3 linked regions of the Pelodiscus sinensis genome follow. The protein of the gene in region 3 interacts with the protein of the main gene of each other region in a pairwise test. Links are inferred from orthologs where the notes say so. Each region holds a gene or a part of one and is shown on either strand. Other genes may lie near its edges.

Region 1 (3,600 bases), on a different chromosome or scaffold from region 3:
GGAGCTGGGTCTGTGAGCCCCAGGGCCTGCACTGCCCCCAGCCCTCCATGGGGCCAGCTCTGCCGTGCAGCCCGGATCCCCATGGCAGAGCAGTTCTATGGGCCCACCTCTCCCGGTATCCAGTCTCTGAGGGTGGAGGCTGCCTGCTACCACCAAAGATGGAGGAATCCACTCCCAGGGCTGGGCCCTCCTGCCCCGACAGCTGGCGAGTTGGATGAAGAGCTGCCTCTTGGCACGAGCACTGACACTCTGACCCCAGAACCCAGAGTGGGGGCTCCTTGCCCACTCTGTGGGTGTTCAGAGCCTCCTTTCCCACCCCAGACCCCAGACAACCCCCCTTCCCCCACCCGCCGCCTGTTTGAATTCTGCCTAACTCTTGGCCTCACCAAGACCTAGTGGCGAGGAGTTCCGCTGGTTACTGCTGCCAGGGCTGATGGAGACTCGTCTGGGTGCTATTTAGCACCTGCTGCCTTGTGGCTCCCTTTCTGCTTCTTGCATTGCAGCACAGGAGGAAGAGCAGTGCCCCGCCCCAGGCACCCCTCTGGGAGTCTGTCTGTCCCAGCCCCAGGCACCTCTGTCCTCCAGGACGGACAGCCCTGAGCTAGCAGCATCTCAAGACCCCCTAGCGCACGGAGCCCTGAGCCGCCGGGCTGGGTCCACTGGCATGGACCCCCCTCCTTGCCCCGTGTGACCCCGCTGGGGTCCGCCAGCAGTGAACCCTGCTCCCTGCCCGCCCAGCACCGCCCCCCGTCTCCCGCCCCCTGACCTCCACTCTCCTCCGGCTCCTTGACCATGATGTGGGCGTCCAGGTGCTGCAGCTGGCAGTGCAGCTGGTGCAGTTTGCGGTCGGAGCCGCGCAGCAGGCTCTCCACGCTGGCCAGGTTGCGACGGTCGGTGGTGGCCCGGCGCAGGTTCTCCGCCCCCTCCTTAATCTTCAGCTCCTTGCGGATCTCGCGCCGGATCCGCTCCTTCTCCTCGTCCAGCCGCTGCTGCACGCTGCTGGCCGCCAGGTCGGGGCTGGGCTCCAAGGCCAGCTGCTCCAGCACCGACCAGACCTGCTCGCCCTGCAGGGGAGAGAGCAGGTGAGGGGGCCCTGCAGCGCCCAGCCCTGCCCGCCTCCTCCGCTGCCCCCCTCCGGCCTCCTCCTCAGCTGCCCCCTCGTGCCCTCCTCCTCGGCTACCCCCTGCTGGCCTCCTCCCTGCCACCCACATCCTCAGAGGCCTCCTGCCAGCCCCCTTGGTGCTCCCCAATAGTCCCTCTCTGCCACCCCCCTCTATAGCTGCCCCCCAACAGCCCCTTGACAGCCACCTTTACAACTGCCCCTACAGCTCCTTCCCTGGCCCCCCACCTGCCTCTCCTGAACCATGCCTCTGCTGGCGCACTGACCCCTCACTTCCCCCCATGCGGATGGACTCCCCCATCCTAGCCCCCTGCCCTGGCTGGGAAAGGGGCTAGGGGTTCCCGGACAGGGCTCAGCCGGAGGAGCGAACGTGATGCAGCCACCACATCAAGGGAATGCAGCTGGCACACCGGAAGGGCGCAAGGGGCTGGCCCTCTGTGCCCAGCAGGCAGGGCTGGTAGTTCGGGGCTGATCTGGGTGCATCTGTCCCTGGTCAGACCCTCATGGGCTGCCGAGCTCACGGAGGGCAGGGAGCTTGGGGCTGACTGGCTCCTCTACAGACAGGCTGCACTCCCAGCGCTCAGCCCCGAAGTGCCCCAGCTGGGGCATGCTTGGCCACTCATCCTAGAGCCCAGCGGGCACGAGATCCAGCCACAGCAGCCCTGGGCCTCGGCTCCCCCATCCGGGAACTGGGAGACCAACCCGGGTCTCTTCCCCAGGGAGGAGGAGGGGGAATCCCAGTCGGGTTGGCAGTGCCTGGCCCAATGGGAGCAGGGCGATGCCTGTCGGGCTCGGAGCAGCCTCTGGCACCATGACGGGGCACTGGGGCGGGGTGATCCCAACGGGGGCCCTACTGAATGAGGACAGCACCAGCATCCCCACACTCCGGGCTGGGCCAGGATCTCTGGGGAGGAGTCCGGGGGCTGGAAATCTGCCTCCAGGATGTTCCCAGGGAGCCCCATGAGCTCCCGGCTCCCCTTGCAGGCCTGGCAGATTTCCACCGCCCGCACCCCCGGGACGAGGCGCCTTGGTTAACGTCACCCCGGGGAGCCGCCCTGGCTCGGGGGAGGGGGGCTGGCTAGAAGATGTCAGGGGGGCCTAGATGGGAGTTGAACCGTCCCTTCCTCTCTGCCCCTCCCCCTCGGCAGCTTGCAGGCAGCTGGCGCAGCAGCAGCCATGGCGGGGAAGGAAACGTACTCTGCCCCCTGCATGGTGCACCAGCCCCACCCCGGTTCTCAGGCCCGCCCAGCGCCCTGCCATGCAGAGCTCTAGGACCAGCTGATTCCCCTGCGCCCCCCAGTCTCTGCAGGCAGCACCAGCCCTCCCTGTGAGTCCCCCCCCAACCCCACCGGCCCTTTGCCATGGCTGGGCCACCGTCCCTGTCTCCACTGTGCCAGAGCAGCGGGCTGGGGCAATTCACATCCCCGTGGGGCCCCCACCCAGCCAGGTACCTCCAGATCTTGCTCAGAGCAGGAGTCTGACTCCGACATCCTGGCCCGGGGGGATCCAGGCCAGGCCAGGCCCCGTCCGTCCTTGGGTCTGAGCTGGGCGACACCCCCCTCCTGTTGTTCGGAGTCTAGCCCCCCCCACCATATCACAAAACCACTTCCCCTTCCTGCACCTCACAGCACTGCCTCCCGCCACCCGAGCGCTGCTGGACCCGCCCCCGCCCGGCCTGGGCCCAAGGGGTTAACGGGAGTGAGAGCCCCCCAGAGCCAGGCTGAGCTTGGGACTGACTCGCACATGCCCCCAGGGAGACCCCCTGTGCTCCAATCTCCAGGGACCATACACCCCCACCCCCCAGAAGCTTCCCAGACCATCTCTTGAGTCATCCCAAACCACACGCCCTGGCGCTGCTGCCCCCAAATGCTGCACACTGGGCCCCCTGACAGGGGCCAAGCTCCCCCTAAAAACACCCCAGGGCAGAGCCTCCAGGCCCCAAAACTGGGACGTTCATACATGGATGTCTGCTGAACAGCCCCTGCGCCCCACCCCAGAGGTGGCTGCATCTCAGCACCAGGTGAGGGATCCCCAGAGGCTGGTGGGGGGCACTCTCTCTTCACCCTGATCAACTCAGTACTCGAGACTCACCAGCCCTGAGCTGCCCCGGGGCAGGCAGCTTTCTCCTGCCATTGACCCGGAGCAGGGCCGGCGCCCGCACGGTGTGGGAGGGGCAGCATCCTCCCCTGTGCGACCACCCTGCTCCCTCCTGCTACCAGAGTTCTGGGGGGTGCTGAGTGTGGGGAGGGGTCAGATTGGGTAACGTGCTGCCCAGTCCCCACCCCGGAGCTTCTGACAGGCCCCAGTAAACAAGGGGCGGGCTCAGCAATGGGCACTGAGCTGGAAGGCAGGACACCCGGGTTCCATTCCCAGAGCCGCTGGGTGACCTGAGCCCCTCCCACCACTCCCAGCAGCACAGCGCCCCCTGGTGTCCCTCTGGGGAACCCCCCTTGAGCTGCCCAACACACCCCTGCAGCACA
Region 2 (3,600 bases), on a different chromosome or scaffold from region 3:
GCCCTTTTCCGGAGGGTCTTATTCCTACTTCAAAGGGCACTTTTTCCGGAGGATCAGGGCCAATCTAGACGCTCTTTTCCGGCTTTTTTAAAAGCCGGAAAAAAGCGGCGGACATTTTTATTTAAATGCCGTGGGGGATATTTAAATCCCCCGCGGATTTCCCTACGACGACTAGTGAAATTTACATGCCCCTTCCGGAAAAGGGGCCAGTGTAGACGTAGCCCAAGTGAATACAGCTTTGGAAGAACCAAATATAGATCCTCAAAAAATACCCCAGTTCAACCTATGAGTCATCCATCCCACAAATACACACCTCAGACCACTTCTCACAAGTTACCTTTTTCCGGCGCTCTTCTTTAGCAGATTTCAAATCATCACTTCTCTCTCTGATCTTATTCATATTGGACTCTTTGGTCAGTCTCAGCTCCCTGAGTTCGTCAGCGAGCAATTCTCGTTCTTCGTACAAAAGTTTCCTAAGTTGTTCTCGCCTCTGATCCAGGTTGATTTTTTTTTCTTCCTTTATTTTCTGACGGTGATATGCGTTCATGCTAACAGAGAAACACAACAGAAGGAAGCATCAAGCCCAAGGTAAGCTAGTTAGCAAAATCCAGACAGAGGGCAGTGGAGGCATGTGTTAGTCTAATGATACAGGCAACTGGCTGTTCCAAATATTCCCAGTTTACCAGACTAAGACTGTACCTGCCAGTGCCCATTGGCTCCCATACATTTGCATGCTCACTTACAAGACACTGTGCCCTTATTACAAAAAGTAGATGATGGTGATACCCCATGGTCTGGTATCAGAGGGCCCAGAACACAAACCAAAGAGCCAAAACATTTGTGATGGTGATCCTCTGCTGTCCACCCTCCTCCCCACAGGGTCAGCCTTACCCGTATGCAGAATATGCATCTGTGTAGGGCAGTGTTTCTCAACCTTTTTTGTATAAAGTACCCCCTTAAAAAAAAGTATCCTCCAGTACCTACAGTTTTCAGACAAACAAAATTTTTTTCTACCATTGCAACACATTTCTTTAAACAACTTAATTGTAGCCGGGCAGGAGATGACATTTTTGAGTGTAAAAAGTTCAAAAATAATAAAGTGCTGTAAATCTTAAAACAAAAATTCAGTTTTCTCCACATTTCAGTTGTGTTGACGTACCCCCCAGATTGCTCTCAAATACCGTGGTACTCGTACTACTGGTTGAGAAACACTGGTATAGGGCACCTGAAAAATTGGGGCACCTCTGGGTCCTAATGTCTACCCACCTGCCTCTTCCTATCCCTGTTCCATGGCTTCACTTCTTCCAGAGAGGTTTTAGTTAACTTACAAAAGCCTGCCAGAGCTATCAGCAGAACCTCAAACCTGTGAAAGAGCCATTCAAGTGGTAACAAAGCCATTTAACAGGCATTTGTCAACTCTGGGTACATACTGTCAAGTTCTAGATTTACTGTGCGAGTCAACAGGACCCTAGTTTAAAAATCTGCTTTAAAACTAGACATATTAAAAAAAAAATCTGCTTAATGGGGTAATCGTTTAACTGCTGAAAAACTAAGCAGGTTCATGATTACCCAAGCAGCGGGCTCTGAAGTATAAAGCTTAGCTTAGTTTATTCAGAGCTTGATGCTTAATCCTTCCTTCTGTTGTGTTTTATAGCTTTATACTGCAGAGCCCACAGCAAAGCATCCTTGGGAGCAGGACCGCCAGCCCCTGCTAGCCTAACTCCGGGGGAGAAGGCTTCGCTGTGTGTAACTGACACTGGTAACCAATAAGCATCTGCTTATTAGTTAAAGAGTTAGTTTTAAATAGGAGTGTTTGAGTGTAAACCACTATTGCACTAGTGTGCTGCTGAAGAGTTTAAAACCACCACCCCCATGACATTGGGGGCAGTGGCCACAGTTTGACAATACTGTGCAGGGCCCATACACTCTAAGGGCCCTCCTCCCTCCCCACTGTTACCTTTGCTGGTAGGACTGCCGCGAGCCCCACTGGTTCTGCTTGGAGCTGCAGACTCCAGACTGCTGGAAATAGCGGCTGTGCAGCTCCCATTGCTGCCGCCAGCGGGCCTCCTGCTCTCGCTGGCGCACGATCCGCTTCTCCAGGGCACTGCTGTGACTGGGCCAGGCGGAGGGCAGCGTGGGCAGTGCCATCTGTGCGACAGAGCGGGGGAGCCACCGGGACCCTGCCTTGGGCACACGCGCCACAGCAGCTCCCTGTAACCTGAGAAGCCCCCAGGAGAGATTCAGGTGCCACCCAGCTGATCAGCAGAGCGCCCACACACGGCAGCCTGTTTCTGCTGGTGGTGCACATCCGCGCGTCCCCCCTGTGCACAGAACAAAACTTATTCCGCACATGGATACAAAACCTCAGGGGGCACCTTGCTCCCCGCACCGCCCCCACGACCGGCCCCGGCAACCCCAACGAGTCCTTCCGGCGGTGGCGGCCCCAGGGCAAATCCCCCCACTCTCCACCCACCCGAGCGGCCATTACCGAGAGGGGCTTCCCTCTGGACGGATAGCTCCGCGAGGAGGCTGTAACGGCTTCGCCACTTCCGGGTTCCGCCGCGCAACACCATGGCAACGCTTCCGGGAGGGGCTACGGGCCCCTGGGAGGGACACGCCGCCCCTGCTCGCGAGCCAGAAAAGGAGACCGAGCCTTCTCCGCAGTTCGCCCCGCCCCGCCCCTTGTGTTTCCCCATATGGCCTCGTGCAAACCCCGTGCGTTTGCACGGAGACCCGTCGTGCGCACCCTCCTCAGTGCCATGTGGGGCTCACACGGGCGCCGTGCACCTTCACTCTGCACGGCTTTGCGCTGCCACCAGCAGACACCCCCTCTGAAAAGCTGCCCTAGGGTGCGCAGGGGCAGGTTAGCGAGGCATGTGACGGCCTCACTAACCAGTCCCTGGTACTTGTAATGGCCCTGCCTTGCAGTGGACGCTGTGTAAGACACTCAGGGGACAAGAACCTAGTCCCGTGGCACCTTCGAAACTAGCAAATCTACATGTGTAGTAGGGGGTGAGCAGTTATGGTTAGGGGCACTGTAGAAGGCTGTGATTTAGTTGGAAATGGGGTTAGAAGGAAGAGAGAGGGGCTATACTGGGATGAGAAGAGTGCTCCAGAGGGTCTGAGCAGTAGGAGAATGCTAGTGTCTTCTTTGAACACTATGCAATCAGTGGGTCAGTGAAAGGTTCACTGTGAAGGGAGCACTGGGACATGGGCAAACCCTAACTCCAGCTCTAGGTGATCACGACAAGGTTAGGATTGAGTCTCCAGGAATCCTGACCTTGTTGGGATTGCAAGGACTCTGCCACGCAGAAGGGTGGAAGGGGAGTACTAGAAGTTCATCAGGCCTCTGGGTAAAGGAAGTGAGATCAGGGAATCAGATCATTTAATTAGCTCATTTTACCAGAGAGCTGTGTCTAGACTGGCCAGTTTTTCCAGAAAATTAGCCGCTTTTCTGGAAAAACTTGCCAGCTGTCTACACTGGCCGCTTGAATTTCCGCAAAAGCACTGACTTCCTACTGTAAGAAATCAGTGCTTTTTGCGGAAATACTATGCTGCTCCCATTCGGGCAAAAGTCCCTTTTGCGCTGTTGCCTGCAGA
Region 3 (3,940 bases):
GCAGGAGTTCCTGAACTAGTCAATTGGGCAGTTTTTAGTGGTCTTCAGTACTGTCTGGTCAGTCTCCCCCCTGCATCTTTTAAACACATTAAAATGTAGCTACAAACCCATGCTTTCTGATGTAAACAATTACTGTAATTGGTAGAGACATAACTGCAAATGGAAGGGAAAAACATCTGCATGATTATGAATAAGCAGAAAGGTGAATACTTGAAACAATGTCCCCCTTTACAAACTGTTAGAGTACCCAATTTCTAAGAGTTACCAAGGATTGTTCCTTTTTAACACCAGAGAACTGGGCTTGACAATGAGTACACAGAAGGATCTAGTGGACAGTTCACTGAACTAGAAGCTTGGAGACCTTCGCTCTCTTGAGAGTTGGGCAAATCATTCTTCCTTTCTCCCACAGTCCCATCCTTCCCCATCTGTAAAGTGGGATAAAGATTACCCTTCTTTTCATTCATAGACCTTTAATTTTTGCAAAGTACTACATAATTTCTAGGTATTGTCTCGGATAATTATTTTCAAACATGGAAGCAGCTACTACCATGCTTCACTGTGGCCTGAGATAAGCTTGCCATAAAAACACTTGGCTACAGAAAGCAATGCTGTTTGGAAGCATTTGAACAGAACCAAGCATTGATACCTTTAGACCCCAGGATGCTTTAGGGACCACACACAGACAGAGATCACTTCGGGGACTATTAACAGCATGCACCTATGAGCCCCCTGGACTCACCTGTTCCTAACCCTCTGTACTGCGCTGTCATTCCCACCCTCCCACTATAGCTCCCCCTTCCTGTCCCACCCCACAGCTCCCCCATCCCTCTGTACTCCTCTCCCATTCCTACCCCTTCAGAGCTGCCCCACCCCTCTCTGTACTTCACCATGCCCACCGCCTACGAGCGCTGGAACTATTTTATAGTGGGGATAGCAACTGACCCAGACTGTAAACCTGGGGTGCTGCAGCCCGCCTAGCCCCGGCTCCCATCCTTCCCAACCCCTATTTCTCCTCAACTCCCCCTCCTCCAGCCCAGGAACCTACTCCCGGGAATTAACCCCTGACAGCCACTCCAACACCCCCTCCTCCAGCACGTACTGACCGACTCCTTGGCTCCGCCCTCCGGCTGGAGGCTGCGCACCTATCTCGGGGGGCGGAACTTAATCGGCCCAAACCCACCTTTCCCCCCACTCCACTGGCTGAGTGGAAGCTTTCAACGCTTGATTGGGCGGCGTTCCGGTCGATCCCCTAACGGCGGCGTGCGATTGGTTGTCCGGCAGGGAGGTCAGAGTGCCCGTTTTGAATAATCGTTCTCCTTGTAGTAAAAGGGCGGTTGCCCATGCCACGTTGCTGCCGGCTGCGGTGCCGGGCCCGGCCTGGAGGCGGGGGGGACTCGGCTAAGTCCGGAAGCGCTCGGCAAAGTCCGGCCGCGGCTTTAAAGGAGTTGAACGGTCCCCGGCTCGCCCCGCGCCAGGCTTGTCGGTGAGCGCGAGGAGCCCTCGGGGGGCCGCGATGCTGGCCGACAGCCTGGTGGAGGAGTTCGAAATCCGCGAGGATGAGCCCTGGTACGACCAGCAGGACCTGCAGCAAGGTGAGCAGCCTGGCTCCGCGCGGAGGATGCCCGCCTGACGCGGGCTCGGGGCTCAAGCGAACGGCTCCCGCTGGGCGAGGCGATGAAGGAGCCTCCTCCGGCGGCGTCTTCAGGGGATGATGGGGGTGGGGGGCGACAGGTAAGTCCCGAGGGGGCGCGGGATGAGGACAGGTAAGTCCCGGTGAGGCGGGCAGTTGGGAAACGTGGCTGGGGGGGGGGGGGGGGGAAGATGTGTGCGCCCGGGCGGGGAGCGACTGAGGGGAGCGAGGCGAGGAAAAGGGCGAGGGCGTGGAGAGGACAGAAGGGCACAGTTGCCCCCCCGGGGCTAGCGCGGGGGTGGGTTATTATTTGGGAGACATCGTTAGGCTGGGGGCGCACGGAAGGAGGCTTTGTGACCATTGACATTGCAAAGCGTTTGCCATCCTGCAGCTTCTGAGGGCACCGGGGATTTAACCAAGAACAGCAATTCCCTGGGAGGCGCAATGGTATCGTGCGAGGTTTTTGGGCCGTACGGACTTGTGCAAAACGAACCCTGCGAGTGGCTTCGTGTACCTGGCTTCGGAGCTGGTTCTTCCCTTAACTTTGTTCGCGTCCTGCGTGTGCCACTCCGTGAAAAGCTGCACCTCTTGGCGTAAAGCAGCTTGGGAATGGGAGTGCTTTCGCTGCAGTGCTTGCTTAAAATAGAGCGGCTGAATACTCCTTAGGGGCTTCCACACCCTGCAACCGCCTTCTGCTTGTCTGTAATTAAAGGGCTAAACACTAGAGCACATCTGACGAAGTGGGTCTTTGCCCACGAAAGCTTATGCTCCTACACTTACTTCAGTTAGTCTATAAGGTGCCACAGGACTCCTTGTCGCTTTTGCAGATTCAGACTAACACAGCTACCCCTCTGATACTAGAGCACAATAAAGGTGTTAAGTGGGCTAGTCTTTTGTTAGTCTTTAACTAAAAGAAACTTAAAAACAAAACAAAGCAATGGTCCTACAAGGACCATTGTTAACTTTATTGTGGATAGAGGGTCATTTACTGCTCTCAACTCCTCCTTACACAGGTCCTGTTTACAATTTACTGTGAAAATTTATTGACTAATTCCAATATATGTGTGCTTCTCTTAATACTATAATAATTATGTAGCTCTTATAGGATACAGTTACACCACAGGACAAAGTCAAATTAAGATATGCAACTTCAGTTATGTTAATTATATAGCTGAAGTCAAAGTACCTTATTTCAGCTTTTGGTACTGTTTACACTGCAGGAAGTTGAAGGGAGAGCACTCTCCCTTCAACTTCCCTTACTCCTGGTGAAAGCAGGACTACCGGTATGGACCAGAGTGCCCCTCTCAGTTTGAATTAGCTGTCTTAACTACACTCTCTAATTCAAACCCTGGAAGAACGAGAGCTGGAGCTTCAATCTTCCTCTGTAGTGTACATGTACCCATAGTGCTTTTTCATCAGTAGGTTTCCATGTAACTTTATAAAGCTGGTTTGAGACATAGTAGTATAGAGTAGTGTATGCAGTAAAATGTATGGCATTATCAATTTTCTGAACCTCCAGTAGGCTTTAATTGGAATGCATTTAGAACAAACTATTTTGGGTTTAGCACTATTTAAAATTGGTATTTTAGTCTTATTTTTAAATAAGCTATTTATGTTCTTAAATGGTCAGTTCAGAACTGGAAACTCAGAGAAGGGGCTTCCTCAAAACTAGATTTAATTAAAACTTGGTTTCTCTAAGCTATTCCTCATTTAAGCTCTTTGAGGTTGGGACAGTTCTTTTGTTTTGGTTGTACATTGGCAAGCACAGTGGGATCCTGATACATGACTAGGGTTGATAGAGCCTATTGCATTATAAAGAATAGAAGTAGAAAAAAAAATCATGTTTTTCATACTAAAGTCAAGTAGTTAACAATAAAAATTCCATCTCTGCTAACTGTTGAATAGCTGTACAGCAGTTTTCAGCAGTTTTCATAGATTGTAACTTAACAGGATCGCATACCCATGAATAGTTTGCTGTTGTCTGGAAAAACTGGTGAACCATCTAACATTATTTTCTAATGATTTAGACTTTTTTTCCAATCCATTGTAAAGCTGTCACTATTCAGAGACAAACCTGTCTCTGTGAATCACCTAGCTTCCTCATGAAATGTACAGATCCTTTGGGCTGATCTGAATGAAAATAAATGGAATAACCTTTAGTTGGATTTCTTTTTATTATAATTATTATTCTTTGTATCAAACTGTTATTTTGTGTTGTGCTTAAAAGTTCTACCTCCCAAATGGGACATTTCTTTGATGGTTATGAGATTCTCATATGTCAAATAGAATTATATACGTATTCTCTTATTA

Evidence for each region. The genes of interacting proteins can lie anywhere in the genome.
Region 1: the proteins of CDR2 (region 3) and PKN1 interact in binary tests that used the Homo sapiens proteins (3 or more experiments, as listed by UniProt). The link is inferred for Pelodiscus sinensis from reciprocal best matches to the Homo sapiens genes CDR2 and PKN1.
Region 2: the proteins of CDR2 (region 3) and TCHP interact in binary tests that used the Homo sapiens proteins (3 or more experiments, as listed by UniProt). The two-hybrid records come from large-scale screens. The link is inferred for Pelodiscus sinensis from reciprocal best matches to the Homo sapiens genes CDR2 and TCHP.

What each region holds. Positions count from the first base shown.
Region 1 is NC_134729.1:10,472,440-10,476,039, reverse strand, and holds the start of PKN1 (serine/threonine-protein kinase N1), read right to left. Parts: upstream 2,728-3,600; 5' UTR 2,611-2,727; coding exon 2,572-2,610; intron 1,065-2,571; coding exon 767-1,064; intron 1-766. UniProt on the Homo sapiens protein: PKC-related serine/threonine-protein kinase involved in various processes such as regulation of the intermediate filaments of the actin cytoskeleton, cell migration, tumor cell invasion and transcription regulation.
Region 2 is NC_134725.1:37,852,041-37,855,640, reverse strand, and holds the start of TCHP (trichoplein keratin filament-binding protein), read right to left. Parts: upstream 2,641-3,600; 5' UTR 2,489-2,640; intron 2,219-2,488; 5' UTR 2,149-2,218; coding exon 1,958-2,148; intron 549-1,957; coding exon 338-548; intron 1-337. UniProt on the Homo sapiens protein: Tumor suppressor which has the ability to inhibit cell growth and be pro-apoptotic during cell stress. Inhibits cell growth in bladder and prostate cancer cells by a down-regulation of HSPB1 by inhibiting its phosphorylation.
Region 3 is NC_134726.1:22,798,666-22,802,605, reverse strand, and holds the start of CDR2 (cerebellar degeneration-related protein 2), read left to right. Parts: upstream 1-1,331; 5' UTR 1,332-1,513; coding exon 1,514-1,592; intron 1,593-3,940.